Linked DNA regions of Oryzias latipes. The protein of the gene in region 1 purifies or fractionates together with the protein of each later gene. This does not show direct contact. Links are inferred from orthologs where the notes say so. Each region holds a gene or a part of one and is shown in the gene's direction. Other genes may lie near its edges.

Region 1 (5,892 bases):
AAGGAGATGGAGAAGCTGCAGAGGTTTGGGTTTCCCTGAGTGGAGAACTTCGGTTCCAAAAGCCGTCGCTTCACGGTCGCTTCATGTCTTCTGCTGTTCCAGCCTCCTTCAGAGCGCCGCGGACACTCCCACCGACCGGATCAAAGGCTTCCTCCACTCTCTGAGGCAGGCGGAGCCCTGCACTGAGCACGTGCAGACAGGGCTCAGGTCACCTCCTCCTGGAGGCGGGTCCGGTCAAAGCGACAGAGAGAGCACAGACCTGGTGGGCGGGTGTGCGCGGCGCCTCCGCTCCCCGTCTCTCTGTGACTCCGCCTCCTTGTGGTCGGCCTGGAGCGCCAGGTCCTCCTCCACCTTTGACACCAGGGACGAGGCGGCGTTCAGGGACGGCCTGGCGGCTCTGGACGCCAGCATCGCCAGCCTGCAGAGAACCTTCCAGCTGGATCTGAGGAGATGTTGAGGAACCGTGGCGGTCCAGATCTTCTGTAACGTGTAACTTCTGATTTGAAATAAAGCTTTATTTGACTGTCAATCAATCTGTGGGTTCTGTGTGTATGTGTCTGTGTTGTATGTTTAATAGTGTGTCTGTTGGGGGTGTGGGGGTGTATTTGTGTGTGTGCTGGTATGTGTTTTTGTTGGTGTTTGTCTGGTAGTGTGTGTATTGGTGTATGTGTGTCTGCTGGGGTGTTGTGGTTGTGTTTATGTGTGTATTGGTGTTATGGTTGGTTTAAGTGTATTATAGTGTGTGTGTGTGTACTTAACTGATTGTTTTTTTCTTCCAAGTAGCGCATAGTTTGTTGTTGTTTGTCAAATCTTCAAGGTTAAACAACGACAGCAGTCGGTGACAAAATAGGAGCTTTTTTTGGAAAATTTCTGATTAAAAAAAAACACGCTTTATGAAACCGATGTTTGCCAACGGACAATTAATAACTATTGTCAAATATATTTGAACAAGCCAGAGGGTTTCTCTTCTCACAGTTTGCATGGATGGTGAATAAACGTGGAAAAAATGAGAAAAGTTGTGGTCTTTACGTGAAATTTTCATAAATGTATCACGAATGAACCAGGTTAAAACCGCGGAAGAAGTACGAATAAACCAACAAAGAACTCGTAAACCAACAAAGAACATGAACCAAACATGATTATTGTCTGTTAATATACAATTCATTAGTAATTTGTGCGTCAACTACGTATTTGAACGTGATATGTGTGCTGTATTCACGTAAAGACTCATCGGTTGAAACCTTCAGTGGACATCTGCAAATGTTGATGAATGACAAAAATGATCACGCTTAAATCACGAAAGACCAAACTTTTATACGTGGAAAATGCGCAAAATGCCCGTAGTGGCTGTGTGACTCTGCTTTTATACAGAACCAAAACGCCTCCATCACTGGCTGACAGTTCTGGCTGCAGCCTGTAGAGGGCGCCTGAAAGCAGACTTCTGTGGTTCTGGTCTTTGAGGTTTTGGCTTCCAGATCTAGGGTCTCAGACTTTGACAACTGTTTATATCTATATCTATATCTATATCTATATCTATATCTATCTATATATCTATATCTATATCTATATATATATATATATATATATATATATATATATATATATATATATATATATATATATATATATATATATATATATATATAGATATAGATATATATAGATATAGATATAGATATATATAGATATATATATATTTTTTTTTAATTAAATTTTTTTTAAATGAATTTATATTAATGTTCAAAAAGGCTCAATTTAAGACCTTAACACGATGAGGATTTGGAAGAATTGAATTAAATTAATTTTAAGAAAAATAAACAGATTACATTAAATTGGTTAGAAATACATAATTAATTTGGATTCATTTCATTTTAATGAGATGAACTCTTCATTTCTTGCTGTCCTGTTCGAGTCCCGTTCCCGCTCAGTAACGATCCAGGCCGGCACGCGCTCAGGCAGCGGCGCGGAGCATTGTGGGACGCTGGCTGACGGCAGAGTCAACATGGCTGCAGCTCTCCGGAGGAGGATCGAACCTGCAGGAAGAAGGCCGTGAATCGAGCTCGGTTGTGGACCCGCTTGGACCGCCTCCGCGTTGCTCTGAAACCTCCGTGCTGTTGAGGGCGCTCACCGACCGCAGAGGACCGAGCGAAGCCACCCGCAGCCGCAGAGGAACCGCCGGGGAGAAAGCCTCGTATGAATCCCGACGAGAAGGAGGACTGTGAGTGTGCGGCACCACAGGCCCAGACCAGCCCGGCGAGCGGAGCTGACAGGTGGGCACGCGGGCAGGAAAGAGTCGGGGATTGCCGGGCATGTCGGGAGCTTAGCTAGCTCCCCGCTGTTAGCCGCGCGGGAGCTCCGCGTTTTCGCTGAATCTGTTTAGACAACACTTCGAGCAGCTTTGAATTTATTTTAATTCAATCACGAAACGTTTAATACGACGTTTTTAAAGTAGGAAGCGCGTGAAATGAAACTAAAAAACGGCCGGCGGGCCTGCTAATGTTTGCTACAGCATTAGCCTGCTCAGTCACGCCAGGCAGAAACCTGCAGTCTGCGACGTTTTCCGCTGAAAGTCCCTCCAAGACTGGATTGGTTCCAGCCTCAAACAGGGACCCGGTCTTTGTGCGGGGGGTTCTCCACCTGCTGCACCCTGACTCCGTGGAGCTAACAACACGCTTCCTGCTGCTGTTTGCAGCCCGCAGACTGCGTCCTCTAAAGGGGAACATCTCTACCAACGCACGGGCTGTTGTCATGTCACACTGGGAGGCTTGCTGTGGTCCTCCTGTCAGTCTGGGAGCAGGTCTGCAGAGCCAGAACCACATCCCATCATCTCCATCTGGATCCCCCCCGCAGAAACATCAGGCTGGAACTTTTGTCCAAGCCTCCAGGAATGTGGGAAAGACCCTCATGGCTCCACCTGCACATCCTTCAGTGCCTGGCTTCTTGTTAACGAAGCCACAAATCGGTGGACGTTTTTAGGGTTTTTGTCAGTGGGGTGCATGTAAACGCCGCGGTCCAAACCCGTTTCATATGTGTGATCTGTTCTTTCTTGTTCCTTCAGAGAACACGAGGAGCCTGACGTAGAAAACCCAGAAGCAAGCCGAATGTAAGTCCCCAACGAGCGCCCAGAGCCGTCTGGATGTCCGTTCTGTGTCCGTCTGTTCCTGTGGTTCCCCACGTCTGTGTGCGTTCATCAAAGGGCTGTTTGCTTTCACGACTAACACTTCGGATTTATTACGTTTTTACTAGAAAGAATTGAGCCGTTGCTTTTTGAAGACGCTGATAGCGTCAGGAATTCTGTATTGTACCCGAGATGTGCTAGGGGCCGCTCTGTTATGCGTCCTGCTGTGGACGCTGAAACGTTCTCTGAAGTTCAGACGCCGTTTTTGAGGCATTTTGGGCGTCCGGGGTTCAGGGGCGGGCGATCGCTCAGAACATCTTTGGACGACATCTTTGGACGTCTTTGATTCCATGTTGGGCCTCAAAAGCTGCAGTAGAACCAGAAACTGCTGTAGTTTTCCCACTTATCGATGTTTCTAACAGGAGCTTTTACTTTCGATACTGAAAATTTCCTCTAGTGCTGATTATTGTGTTCTTTAAACAGAAATCTGCTTGTCTGATATTTCTTACTTCTGCATTTCCTGTCCTAGAATAACCAACAGTTATGTCAAACTTAGAATGCTGTTCTGGTTCCGTTTAGAGGAGCTTAAACATAAACCAGGTTCTGTCCCTTCGTGGTCCTATAGAAGTGTAGTACGATTGGGTGTAAATGAATCGGTCAGGGGTCACCAGAACCGTTACTGAACGCCCAACGTTTTGGTAGAAAGATCTGTTGTTATAAAAACTGTCCAAAAATGGAACCAACAACTCTCCAATCAGCTTTCTTTAGCTTAAGAACGCAGGAGTTTTGAACACGGAAGCCCAAAATGCCCATAGACTTCTTGGAAGTGGTCGGTAGGAGTGTTTCAGAGCCTGGAGTGAACGTAAACAGATTTATTTTTAATGTGTACAAATGAGGCAGAAAAACTATCGGTTTTGGTGTCCAGGCGAAGCATCCGGTTTATAATAAGAACATGTGCTGAGGTACACGCGTGCACGAAGCGTGTCTCGATCCACCGACATTTGTGTGGAGCGTTTCATAACGTCTGGACCAGGACGTGGTCAAACGTCTTCAGCGTGTTGGAGGTCCCTCGCGGTCTTGATGCTTTGCTGATTTTTGTTTTTGTTTTCAGCGTGCTTCTAAAATATTTATGAGTTCAGTGCATTGTGTTCTGCTTCCTGATTGGCTGTTGACCTCGTCAATAAATCTGGCCTGTGCTGTGTCTCCTGAACAGAATGTGTTCAGATCTACTTAACCTCTGGAGACCCTGTGTCCTCACACAATGACATGGTTTTTGTACTTCCTGTACTAACGATAACGGTTATTGGGTCCTACTTATCTCACATAGCATTGTGTCCATTATTCATTCACTAGGAGCTCGCCGCTCCATGGCCTGAAGACGCGGCCGATGTCTCCTTTGATAGAAGACGAGCGCCACGGCAGAATGTGAATGTATCTGCTGTCAATCAAAGTATTGTTCACATCCGAAATCTCTGATTTTTTCCTCTGAACGCAGGAAGCGAGCAGCCGCCAAACATCTAATAGAGCGCTATTACCACCAGTTAACGGAAGGCTGTGGGAATGAGTGCTGCTCCAACCCCTGGTGTGCCTCCTCGGTGGGATTCACGCGCATGGACAACAACGCGGCGGCGGTCAAGGCGCTGGAGCTCTACAAGGTCAACGCCAAGCTCTGTGACCCGCACCCTTCCAAGAAAGGCACCGCCTCCACCTACCTGGAGAGCAGCACGCACAGCAACTCTGCCTCCAGCGACCAGCAGGTGAACCACAAGGAGGCGCACACGCTACGGGAAAATTTTAAAGGTGAGCTTGAGCCCAAAGTTCCGGTTTCGTGTTCCGACCGGTGAAGTCTTGTCGGGAAGGCTGTTCTACCGGTTTCACCCGCTCTGTTTTTCGCGTAGATGTATCTTACCTGACGGAGGAGAAGGTGTACGAGATCTTGGGCATGTGCGGGGAGAAGGAGGATTACTCCCCGCTGATCCGAGTAATCGGCCGGGTCTTCTCCAGCGCCGAGGGGCTGGTGCAGAGCTTCCGGCGGTCCAAACCCCACACCAAGGAGGAGCTGAAGTCCCTCCAGGGCAAGGACGAGGACAAGGACGAGGACGAGAAGGAGGCAGCGGCGTGCTCCGCTACGGCCATGGAGGAGGACTCCCCGTCCTCGTCGACGCGGCCGGGCGAGGGTTCCTCGGGAGACAACGACGTCCAGAAGCTGGCGCCGGACGAGGTCTCGGTGGACATTGAAGCCGTGCGGCGCGTCTACGAGCGCCTCCTGTCCAACGAGAAGATAGAGGCCGCCTTCCTGAACGCACTGGTTTACCTCTCCCCCAACGTGGAGTGCGACCTGACGTACCACAACGTGTACTCACGGGACCCGAACTATCTGAATCTGTTTGTTATAGTGATGGAGAACAGCAACCTCCACAGTCCAGAGTACCTGGAGATCGCGCTGCCTCAGTTCTGTAAGGCCATGAGCAAACTGCCACTGGCCGCTCAGGCCAAGCTGGCCCGCCTCTGGTCGCACTACAGCGCCGAGCAGATCCGCCGCATGATGGAGACCTTCCAGCAGCTCATCACCTACAAGGTGATCAGCAACGAGTTCAACAGCCGGAACCTGGTGAACGACGACGACGCGGTTGTGGCGTCCACCAAGTGCTTGAAGATAGTTTACTATGCAAACGTGCTGGGAGGCGACCTGGACGTGGAGCACAACGAGGACGAGGACGACGAGCCCATCCCGGAGTCCAGCGAGCTCACGCTGCAGGAGCTGCTGGGCGAGG
Region 2 (5,873 bases), on another chromosome or scaffold:
TTGGGGTGCAATACGCCTGCCCTCATTTCCCATCATTCTGTTGTTTACATGCTCTCCCACCAGCTCACAGCCTTTCACACCCCCAACCTAACATTAGTGGTGCAACAAAAATGGCGAGCTATCCAGCCATATAGTTTTAAGGCAGATGTCAGCTCATATGAGGAAAACAAAGATGTTAAAGGATCTATTTGTCTGCAAGTGGATGCATCAGAATGGAGAGGAGAAGGGAACATTTTACCTGCAGACTGTTTCACCCAAGTCTCTGCAATAGGCTTTTCCCAATGGCAATTTTTGTCTGCTCCTGATTCACCACAACTTTAATAAAGAAATACTCAGAAATTTAGTGTTTATCTTAATTTTCTTTTGATGTCCTCCATCGTGAGAAAATGCTTCAGGAACACGTTAAAAACACCAAAAACACAGTTTTCCTCTGAGTGGGTATTTAAAGGTCTTCCTGTGCAGGGTTTTTATTACATTCTGCTATCATTCTGGGGAGAACATTGCTTTTTAAGAACATGAGTTGTGTTATTTTGCCTGCTTTTAATCATATTGTGAGGTTACTATCTTTTTTTTTTTAAATCCTATCTTTTTATCACATTTTGTGGATGCTGGTCTCATCCCAGAGCCAGTTAAATTATACAATGATTGAGAGGAGCCAACAAGCTGTTTCCAGGTCAGTGGTGGCAGAGTTGCATGTTGCATAATGATACTGTTACAGCCTACTGACACTGTCCCTTGCTGTGAACCTTTCCAACACTCATATGAGAAACCACGTGGACACTGATTTAATAGTCAGACAGAGGTGGTTTCTCTGCTTTGCACTGATCGTATCACTGAAACAAAAGGAGAGGAAAAATCTAGGAGTGTATGGAAATGAGAGGAAACTTCAAATCAGCTCTGAGTTGGACATTTCAGTCTAGATTGGAAGTTATCCAGTCATCAATCTGACTCCTTTAATTGTGGCTTCCCTTTGATTGAATCACTGAGTGGTTTTTACACTTGCATGCTTCCCCTCTGTAGCAATACTTCCCTTGCAACCTTTTAAAGCACTCAAGTTTAATCAAAGCAAAAGAGGGTATGCAGAGACAATTACTCACAGGACCACACAAAAACGTTCTCATTTCTGGTCCGTTCTGTACTTTAACTTCAGGCCCTGGAAGACCGAGGGTTATGTAACTGCAGAACTCGTCTGGGAAGAAACTAAAGCATCAGAGCTCACTAAGAACCAATTAACTGCTGATCAGCAGGCAGGTACTGTTGCTTCTTTAATCATAGGTACAATTCCTCTGATGTTCTCATGCACTTTAAACAGTGACTAACAAATTAACCACAGCCAGTATTTAAAGCCTGGTTTATACTGTGTCTTTAATAAACATCTCAAGAAAAAAAAAATGAAAAAGGCACTGAAAGTAAAAAAACCCACATTTGTTCTCAGACATCCCTTCACCAAATGTTTTGGTAACATACAGCTTGGTAAAGTCTGGTATAAATATCAAACAAATGTGCATGCACACATCTCCCTAAAGCCCAAACACAGCCACCTCTGGAGGTGCCAGGCCCTGCTGCAAAAACATGACTGAGGAGATATGCCAGAAGGGCCAGTCTAACAGGCAGAGCACAGCTTACGGACGTTTGTCAGAGAGTGTGCTAAGTCTGTTTTGGTGGGAGGTGGAGGTGGTGGAATGGGGGGGGGGGTGCTTAAATCTGATTTGTACAGCAGAGAAAGAGGAAAGGGAACAAACTGCTGTTGCATGACTTTTCATAAATTCCCTACTTCATGAACCCCCTGTTGGTGCTGAGCATTAAAGCAGGCAGTAAAGCATGGACACTCGCCCTCAGAACACAAACCCATCAAAGTGTCATACTGTGCAGATGATCTGCATTCTCTGTTCAATGGCTAATGAAAAATATTTAAAACAGTGCACCTGCATGTGACAAGATGAAGGTTTATCAAGTATTTTCTTTTTAGAGCAAGGTGGTTTAAAAATCTTTTTTTTTTACTGGAATATTACAAAAAAATAAAATGCAAACATTAGGATTCTACAGGCTTTCAGCACATTCAAGGTTCTGAAGAATTGCCCCATTTTTTTAAAAAATCTATTCAGGAACAGAAAAGACTTAAACCTTTGAGAAAGTTGAAAGGGCGATGAGACGAGGTGTAGCAGAGTGAGACAGGGGAAGATGTGGCAGAAGCTGAAAGTAGATCTAACCCAGGGACAAGCCATACACAGAGCAGTCTCCTCCCCTGCCCTGCTGAGCATATATTAACTTCCCATGGAGCTCCACCTCACAACTAGAGACACATGGAGTAGGATAACACTCAGTTGAGTCTCTGAGAGTACATTTATATTGACACTGGACTGCATTGCAACTCTGATTATTTTGGACTAACTTTTCCTACACTGGATTTACTGTCTTGGTTGGAATATTGACTTTTTTTTTTAATCATGTGGTTGTCCCTGGAGAACTTCAGTCCCAGTAAGTAGTTTTTTTTTTTTAAATTGATAAAGCCAAAGTTCACCAAGTCTTTGTGTTTGTAAGGAGATAACCACAAATCAAGAAAACAGATGAAGCACAAAAGAGATAAGGTGGAGGCCTTGGGAGAAGAACTGATACACTCCTGAGGTGGCTGTGTGTTAATTACATGTTTATTAACATGACACAACAATGATGTGCATGTCTTTGTGGGCCGTATTAGATGTTGTCTGTCCAATAAACAAGACTTCTGACTGCAACAGAGTCTCTTTAGGAGTTAGAGATTACTCTCTTCGTCACTAAGTGGCAAAAATAGATGCCTCTTATGTGTTGGGCCATGTCAACTGTTTGTATCTTGATGTAACTCCAGAGGTCGGCTGCCCACGCTGATTGGGAGACAATATTGATTCTCAGAAAAGACATAATTTTATCAAGAAAGAAAGAAAATTCATGTGACTGAAAAACAATGCAGGCTGAAACTTTCAAGCTTTTAAGTTTGGATGTCCAGCATGCGCAGGGCAAATGGAGAAAAGATAAGCACCTTATCTAACTAATCTAATTCTAAGGTATAAATGTTGCATTTCTTTCAGTTTGCGATTCCTGTGAATGTGGGCTAAATATCAGAGAATGGAATCACATGAATTCCCTCTGATGGAAGAATACTTCATATGGGTGGAAAAGTGCAAATAGTTTAAAAGTTTAATCAGAAAAAATATATTCAGTGTTCTGCAGACCACAGGCCTGTAAATGATGGAAAACAGAAAACTGCTGAGTGCTAAGCCCATGCTGCATTCATTTCACTTCCCTTCTCTGTTACCTTTTTAAAAAATATACTGCAGTTATTTGCTGGTAAGTCAAAATATCTAAATGAATATTAAGATCACCTGGAGAACAGGATGGATGTATTCATACAGGGAGTCTCTCATCCTCTGCCGCGCCACGTTTACTCCGCATGCACTTTCACTCCTCCATCGCATAGCCCATCCCGGCCTGTAAGAGGCATCTGCATTGCCAGGCACATGGGTTCTCACATGGTCTGCCTGCGGATGTGACTGGAGTCTGATGCAGCTGGATGGTGGCTGCTTGCACGCCCACCAGTCCACGCAGACATCCATAGCATCCACAGACTGCGGACCACACAGGATTTCATAAAAGAACACAGACGAGTGGTCTTTCCTTTCTTATTTAGCATGGGATGCCTATAAGCCTTGTAGGTTAAAGGAGGGACAGGTTCGGACTTTCTAAATCCGCAAGCTACAGTGAGTGACACCAGCCAAGGATTTTTCTCACTGACAAGACTAATGCAATACTTGTGCTATAATCTGGAAATAGCATTAATATCGACCAAAGGACAAAGCAAATACCCTGGACTATAATGCTAAATCAAACAAGTTAAATGAAAAAAAACAGGAGAACAACCAAATTATGTAATCTTTTTACATTTTATAGATGTTATTGTTTGTTTGTTTTTAAAACTCGGGACATTTAAAGACCAAATATGTGGGAAGACCCTTATTTAAAAAATTAATATGATTTTTAAATACTTTAAAATTTCTAAAGAATACAATGCATGCTTTTTTCTTTACTCTCTTTGAGCCCTTTTTGATTTTCATTATTCTTCTGGTGGACTAAATATGTTTTCCAGTGATGCCCCTGGTGACGTTTGGCTTTGCTTATTTATTCATTTGGATTTTTTACACTATAAAGTTAAACTATAATGTGTGCAGATCAACGATTTCATTCACAAATCTTGCATCGTTGAGCTAAATTTTAAAACTACCGCTGATCTACTCCAGACAAACGGTGTGAATGGCTCCTGCTGCTTTCAGGTGCTGCTCAAAACACATTTGCCCACGTTTTGCATAGAAGAAGCAACAAATATTTAATTCATGTAAATTAGCTATAATTTCATTTCAGAAAATGATATTACAAGATTAATCCAGTCATATTTCAATAATACTCAAACGGAGCTATATCACGCAAACACGAGTTTACCGGCTCTAACACAGACTGAGTGGTGCATACTGTATTTATTTGGGGGTTGTAATTGTAAAATTACGTTTTATACACAACATCTTTACTTTAACTAGAAATACATTCTAAATCAGCTTCTTTTTATAACTTTATATTGCCTTACAAATAAATGTTTTTGCAATAGTCTGTAATTGCTCAGATTTGCGGCAAATAAAAAAAGAATACTGACGACTCATCTATCAAGTGCCTTTTTTACCCACTGCCCCTAAATGCACCATAGTGACGTCATCCCCGCCTTTCTAAGTCAGCCTGAATGGCGATTGCAGTAGATCCGCAGAGCTTGGGGAGCGAAGCGCACGCGAACCTGCTCTCGTTTAGCTTAAAATAGTAACCGGAAAAATGCTGCGAATACGTACTGTAAGTAACATACATTATGTCGATTACTATTAATACCATGTGTATGATTTTCTGACACTCTATGTTCTATTTTTGAGCGTTTAAACCGAGGTCGGCTTTGTGTTACTAAGCGATGGAAAAGCCGTACCACGTAGTCAAAAGCCTCCGCCAACAACGGCTCCTTTGTTCACGCTAGCCGACGGTTTCTGCTTCATGATTTGTCTGATATTTATGGGTTATTTGTCGAAAATGTTTGTCTTATTACTTGATTCTGTGTACTTAATATTGTATCAGTTGGGATTATTAGGTTTACTATTTTATCATTCCTAATCGACAAAGCCGCTTAGCGGCTTGTCACTTCGCTAGTCGTGTCTCTATTCCGCCGGGCGCTTTTTTGGCCTGGTGAAAATGGTGAAATGAGTTTGTTATAAAGGAGATTGATTAGTCGTAAACCTATGGGGCTGTATATATTCTGGATTTACTGTATTTAATGAAACGTTTGTGGGTTTTTTCAGACCCTTCTTAAATTTACCTAATCTTGGAAACCGGACTAGCTAGCGCCCACGCCGGGTAGGGGAGGGGCCAGCCTCTTTTACGACATTCATGTCTAAAAGAAATCCGGTGATCGAGGCGGTTGGCTGTTTTGGCACTAGCTTAAGAAAAGACGAATGAGTGTTTGTGTCAGACTGTAGGAATGATGTCCTCATGTTCTTTTCTAACAGTGTTGTCCGATTCTCTTTCTTTTGTTTCAGGTTTTACTCAAGTAAAATGGAGGATAGTTTTGATTGTGACTGTGGCGAACTAGAGCCACCTGATCACTGAGGGTGGATCTTTTTTTTTCCCCTGTAAAGATTAGGTCAGGCCCATTTCCATTTGACAGATCAGGTGAATCAATAGGATAGGAAAACAAATTCAGATATATATAGATATATATATTAAAGAAACAAAAACAAACAAAAAAATCATATGAAGCTGCTCAGGACCAGTCATACACTGAATGTATCTGCACTGTGAAGATGCAACTACAG
Region 3 (6,061 bases), on another chromosome or scaffold:
TACCCCTCGGATATCAACACAACCCTAGTCTTGTCTTGCTGGTTCGGATGCCTGGTAGTGGAGTGTGTGACATCATGTGGCAGCAGCTGACGGCCCTGCTGCAGAGCTTTGCTCAAGGACACACGCTGGTATTACTGCAGGTGTGATGACACGGGTAATATTTCACCTTTTGGGAGGAGAATCAGAGAACAATGTTATTGTTTTTCTCCTTAAGGAGGATGATAAGGCATGTGTGGGCCCAACAGCCTCCATCCTGCTGGGGAACCCTGCTCCTCCATTGGGACAGCTTCCGGCTTCGTTGAAGGAGGATGCTGAAGCTGTGGAGAGACTGAGAAGCAGGCTGCAGGCTGACTGGAACCTTTTGCTGGCAACGGGTGAGAGCACTAAAGAATCTACTTTAATGTCAGGCACATGAGCGGAACATCCCTGCTCTAACTAAACGGTCTCTCCTCTAAATCCAGCACCAGAAAATGGAGGGACTGATGAAGGTTGAAGAATCCCTGCTCCTGTTCTACCCCTACGGCTTCACCCTATCACTACATTCAGCCCTCCTAGCAGAGATACAGGAGAAAAAAATAGTGCCTTCAAATCCGGAAGTTACTACCGCTGGATGACGTCATGAATAGTCGCCAATCCTCTTATGTTGGCGCTCGGAAAATAAATAACATCATTGGTTTTAACTCTCTGAAAAGTCATGCAAAAACAAAAACTCCTTCTCCTTCGCCCCACAAGCACAGCGTGGAACACCCTACTAGCAGAGGGATAGCCAGCCCCGAGTTGCTTTGGTTCCTCCTTAAAAAACATGGTCAGAAACCACTATATCTTCAAATGCCCCTGCAATTGGATCATAATGGAGGAGCCAGAGGGGTAGGGAAGCACTATGGATTCGGCCAAACTCGCACATTTCGGTCCATGAGTCCAATTCATACCTCTGATATTTTTGGAATGCCGTCTGCTTTTTGCTGAAATAAACAGAAACCACAAGTGATTCTGTTCAAATGTTTGTCATAGTATGAAGTAATATTTGTGTCGCTCCATTGAAAACAAACTCAAATTTAAATTCAAAATGTCTTAAATTGATAACAAAATGTTCAGTTTTAAAAACAAAAGTTTCTAAGTAACAAATAAAAATGTGTTGTCTTCAATTTCACTATCTTTCTCTTTGTTTTTGCATTCTCAACTCTGAGGTGACTATGATATACAGCAAGAGCCACCAAACCAGCCAATCACAGACGAGCAGGACTGCTCGCAGATGATTGGGTATTAGACTCACTTTCTCTCCTGGTTCTCATCAATGAAACAAGGCCTATTGGAAATTGAATTCAAATCTTCTGAACCATGAACTCTTTCATTAAGATATAAAAAGAGCAATTGAAAGCTTAATTAAAAATGAGTCATTAGCAAATGACATAACTAAATTGAAGTATGTTAGATATAGGACACAGTGCATTGCTATCTCACATGGTAAAGCTCATGAATCAATACAATAAACAAAAAGAAACTGAAAGTACACTTGCAATAAAATACAGTTAAATGCAAACGATAAACAATAGCTAATCCTTTTATACACTTCTTTGAACAAAATGTTTGTTTTCAAGGTCAAGAGAGCAAAGTGGATAGAGAAGGGTGAAATTTCAGCATATTTTTATAAACTAGAAAGAAAGAGACGAGAACAAAATGTAATTAAAAGCACTTGATTATTGAACACCAAAAATGTACTGATCCTGTGAGAACTTCAAAGGAAACCTTTCATTTTTACAGCAGACTATACTCCTCCTCCTATTGAAAAGCTGATGCTAAAGATCTCTGACTCTATCAAGGAACAATTAAGTGCTTAAGTTATATAAAGCTCCTGGCTCGGATGGCATAACGAGTATCGGTAACTTCTACAAGCACTTCTGGGATAATCTAGGATCTAATCTACAATATGTTAAAACACTCCAATAGACATGATAAAACAAGGGATAATTACCTTAATCCCTTTTCTGGCAAGTCTCCACTTTGTTTCCTGATGGTTCCTGATGATTACTTGATGTGTGATTTGTAGTCATTTCTGGAACAATGCATTGACTTTTTCTAACAACAAATCAAGATTCTCTTGGTTTTGATATTTGATCTGTGATATGTAATAATGAGATTTGAAATAATGCTATGTCTTTTCACATAATTAAAATGTACTTTGTTTTTCTTAATTCTCATGTTTTTCAGATGCCTTCTCCTGCTCCTTTTTAAGCCAATTGCTTTTGATGAATTTAATATTTAATTCCCTTAATGTGTTATGTACAGTATAAGTGTAAAACATCTGCTATAACTGTCAAATAATTAAAAAAAATTATTTTATGCTTATTCTATTGTTCCAAACATGAAGAAACTAAAAATTAAGGTCTACTGTTCGCAATTGTGGTCATCCCATTGACAGGTTTTGAGACATGCTTGCTAACCGCCAGGAGGGGCGCTGGAGAGTCAAAGACGATCCTCTTTCAGCACCGAAGAAGTCAAACGAGAGTCCACATCCGCTAGCTAATCAATCCTTCACAGAGCCGCAACCATGGAAGAGGCAAAAAAGAAAGAGACTAAACAGTCTGAAAAGACTGACGAAAAAGAAAAGGAAAAGGATCAGGGACCACAGTCATCCGGGAAGGATAAAGAAAAGAAAGAGGAGCAAGAATTGGTGCGTTTTTCTTTTTCTGTCATTCAGACTCAGAGATGTGCTAGCTAAGCTAACTCTACAGGAGTCAGCCTCTTATTTGGCTTAGTCACTGCAGGTTAGACAGGCCGACGTAGGCGGCATTTACATACATCAGTCTCGTAACTTAGTGATTATTGTAAACGTTTTAAATACAAATCAAAAAATTCCGCCCACAAGGGTTATAACAAGAATTGATATGAATCTCTAAGTATGGGACACAAGGCTCGTGCTAAGAACCGGTAAGCTAACGTTAGCTTCCAGTTGTTTTGTTCGCTGCCTGCACTGTCATCCAAGTTAGCATTGCTAGCATCTTCAGTTACCCTCACAGTGAGACTCAAAACCAACGTGCCGCCGAACCCAAGCGGATATTTCTTCCTTAAAAGATTCTGTGTTAGTTGTGAAACTTACCGTTCTTTAACTTGTCTGGTATTGGGACATACATAAACAATTATGACACTCAATAATACTAAAAGTGCAGATATTGAGTTAAAGTTGATTAATCAAATAATAGTTACATTTAAAGTTGATGATCAAGAAAATATGAACAGATCTAGCACTGTGGGATTTTTTAAAATCTCATCACGTTTATATAATTTAATTTGTGCTTTGCCACAAAAGAATATCAAGTTTTTATTCTCTGTCACAGACTCTTTTGCACTATGAAGTATAATTAAAAATTGGTAGTGCATATCAATATGTAGTCAAAAGGGGGCCTAAGTCTGGGTCTCCCTGCACATCCAGAATAAAAATCTGTCAGACCACCTGTTTGAATCATTAATAGCTGATTTGCTATGACAACCACTGAAGGCATGTGCCAAAAGGTGAATAATAACCAGGAGTGTAACGATTAATCAATTAGCTAATTTATCCAACCAGATTAATCTGTTTGAGGCAAAGTGTTTGTCAAATTGAAACGACTTAATAAAAAAATTCTAAATGAAATTAATCGATCTATAATGAATTTTGGAAAATACCATATCATACAGTGTGGTAGTATGTTCTAATAATGTTCTGTTTGTATTAATAGCTAATGGATAAACAACCGTGGGCTGAACTTTATGAAACTAAAATGTGAATGGATTTGTTATTCATTCTTGTTTACTTATTGTACACATTTAATTTACAATTGAAAACTTCCCCTGCACCGTTCAGTACCCAGACATTTATCTCTGAGTCACTTGGGTTGAGATTTTGGCTAAAAGATGTCCTTGATGAAATATACCTCAGTGAACTGGATCCAATCGGATTGTTCAAAATGAACCTAAATCGTATCGTCAGTCACAAATTCTGATATAATTCGAATCATTGTTAAAATGAGTTACACTCCTATTAAAAAAATCCTCTTTTGTCATGGCGCTTAAGAAACATCCAAATGTTTAGTATCAACATATGGACTCCTCAACATCACCGCATATGATTGCAAAGTAAAAACAATCCTATAAATGTATTTGGTATCATTTTAATGTCTTTATTTTGGTAAATTGATTAAAATGAGAACACAGCTTTGCTTTTGAAGGGTTTCCAATCAAAACAAAATCATCTTTGTAGTTGAGTTTTTTTCAGCAGCACAATACATTTATTCCTCTAGAAGTACAGATATATTCTTTTACCAACTCTTGAGGCAAAAACAAAGGCTTGTCAGCCAGTGTGGGTGATGGAGAACAGCATGTCTGTTTCGGGTTTTTGTGATCATTTTTAGTGATTTATTTTTTCTTCTTTTTAGTCAGAGGAAGACAAACAGTTACAGGAAGATCTGGAAATGATGGTGGAGAGGCTGAGTGTAAGTTCTGAACAGGCTCAACTTTCTTTTGTCTGTTACAATCTGATCATTCTTGCGAACGCGATAACTCTCGTTTGAACCTGAACAGGAGAAGAACACAGCTTTGTATCGTCCTGCGCTGGAGGAGCTGCGAAGACTAATCCGCTCCTCAACCACCTCCATGACCTCAGTACCAAAGCCCTTGAAGTTTCTGCGCCCCCACTATGCCAAGCTTAAAGAAATCTACGACAGCATGGCTTCTGGGGAAAACAAAGTAAACCTCTATCCGGCCTGAGAACTGAAATATGTCTTTCTTCCATCTTGAGTTTACATGCACTAAAGTGAACTTTTCTTTTCAACATTTGCAGCATTTTTGTGCTGATGTGGTGTCGGTGCTTGCCATGACCATGAGCGGTGAGAGAGAGTGTTTAAAGTATCGCCTGCTGGGTTCTCAAGAAGAGTTGGCATCATGGGGTCATGAGTATGTCAGGTAAATGAATGAAGTCGGACTACCTCACTGTAACAGTCCAAATGTCGTATTATAAGTCTACAATATAACGTGTTTGGGGTTTTTTTTGTCGTTGCTTGCTTCTATCTAAAAGTTTTCTGCGTCTTTCAGGCATCTTGCTGGAGAGGTGGCTAAGGAGTGGCAGGAGGTGGAGGAGAATGATAAAACCCAGCAGGAGACGCTGTTGAAACTTGTTAAGGAAATCGTGCCCTACAACATGGCTCACAATGCAGAGCACGAGGCCTGCGACCTCTTAATGGAAATCGAGAGGCTGGACATGCTGGAGGATTACATAGATGAAAACGCTTATGGCAAAGTCTGCCTTTATCTGACCAGGTTTGTGCAGAATCATACTTGGAGCAAATAAACCAATGGTTGTATTCTTGTGTAATTTCTAGAGCAAAGTGTGGATAAAGTTTGAGTCAAGTACAAACATTTGAATTCTGACTTGTTTTCTTCAGCTGTGTCAGTTACGTTCCCGAGCCAGAAAACTCAGCACTCCTTAGATCTGCCTTGAACATCTTCAGAAGGTTTAACCGTTTTCCAGAGGCTCTCCGTCTGGCTCTGATGCTTAACGATGTGGAGCTGGTAGAAAACATCTTCACGTCCTGCAAAGACATGTAAGTTCTGTAGAGCTCCGCTGCTCCTGAGGATTACTGCACAGTTGTCTTCCGGCTCACAGTTGATGTTGCTCTTTCTAAAACGTACCCCTGGCTCTTTTTGACTTTGCAGAGTCATCCAGAAACAGATGGCCTTCATGCTGGGACGCCATGGCATGTTCCTCGAGCTGAACGAAGACGTAGAGGACTATGAGGACTTAACAGAGATCATGTCTAACGTTCAGCTCAACAGCAACTTCTTGGCCCTGGCCCGAGAGGTAGGAAAGAGAGGATTGCTCTACTTCTAGTAGTAATAGATGACTGCAGTTATTGATCTGTAAAGACCCGAGACAGCTGTAAATGTAACTAAAAGACTAAAAGTGATCTGTTTTTGCTGTTATCTAATCTCAAAGACGCCAACCTCCATGTATGCACCAATGATGACAGTGTTCGTCTGTGGTTTATTTAACACCTTTGGTTTTTCCTTTTTTAATTAAAACAGCTTT

The links.
Region 2: the proteins of ubiquitin-protein ligase E3A (region 1) and mapk6 purify together in Homo sapiens (affinity purification with mass spectrometry; 3 studies listed by BioGRID and IntAct, with this or other methods). This does not show direct contact. The link is inferred for Oryzias latipes from reciprocal best matches to the Homo sapiens genes UBE3A and MAPK6.
Region 3: the proteins of ubiquitin-protein ligase E3A (region 1) and psmd2 purify together in Homo sapiens (affinity purification with mass spectrometry; 4 studies listed by BioGRID and IntAct, with this or other methods). This does not show direct contact. The link is inferred for Oryzias latipes from reciprocal best matches to the Homo sapiens genes UBE3A and PSMD2.

The regions. Positions count from the first base shown.
Region 1 is NC_019860.2:926,403-932,294, reverse strand, and holds the start of ubiquitin-protein ligase E3A, read left to right. Parts: upstream 1-1,918; 5' UTR 1,919-2,193; coding exon 2,194-2,270; intron 2,271-3,058; coding exon 3,059-3,103; intron 3,104-4,613; coding exon 4,614-4,918; intron 4,919-5,016; coding exon 5,017-5,892. Other genes in the region: RNA polymerase II degradation factor 1, read left to right, coding at 1-23, 103-457. UniProt on the Homo sapiens protein: E3 ubiquitin-protein ligase which accepts ubiquitin from an E2 ubiquitin-conjugating enzyme in the form of a thioester and transfers it to its substrates.
Region 2 is NC_019861.2:13,629,374-13,635,246, forward strand, and holds the start of mapk6 (mitogen-activated protein kinase 6), read left to right. Parts: upstream 1-2,294; 5' UTR 2,295-2,478; intron 2,479-4,688; exon of another isoform or gene 4,689-4,866; intron 4,867-5,597; 5' UTR 5,598-5,873. UniProt on the Homo sapiens protein: Atypical MAPK protein. Phosphorylates microtubule-associated protein 2 (MAP2) and MAPKAPK5.
Region 3 is NC_019871.2:18,699,294-18,705,354, forward strand, and holds the start of psmd2 (26S proteasome non-ATPase regulatory subunit 2), read left to right. Parts: upstream 1-2,482; 5' UTR 2,483-2,548; coding exon 2,549-2,671; intron 2,672-4,412; coding exon 4,413-4,469; intron 4,470-4,557; coding exon 4,558-4,722; intron 4,723-4,816; coding exon 4,817-4,938; intron 4,939-5,067; coding exon 5,068-5,292; intron 5,293-5,417; coding exon 5,418-5,576; intron 5,577-5,688; coding exon 5,689-5,833; intron 5,834-6,061. Other genes in the region: hdac10 (histone deacetylase 10), read left to right, coding at 1-140, 215-374, 462-493. UniProt on the Homo sapiens protein: Component of the 26S proteasome, a multiprotein complex involved in the ATP-dependent degradation of ubiquitinated proteins.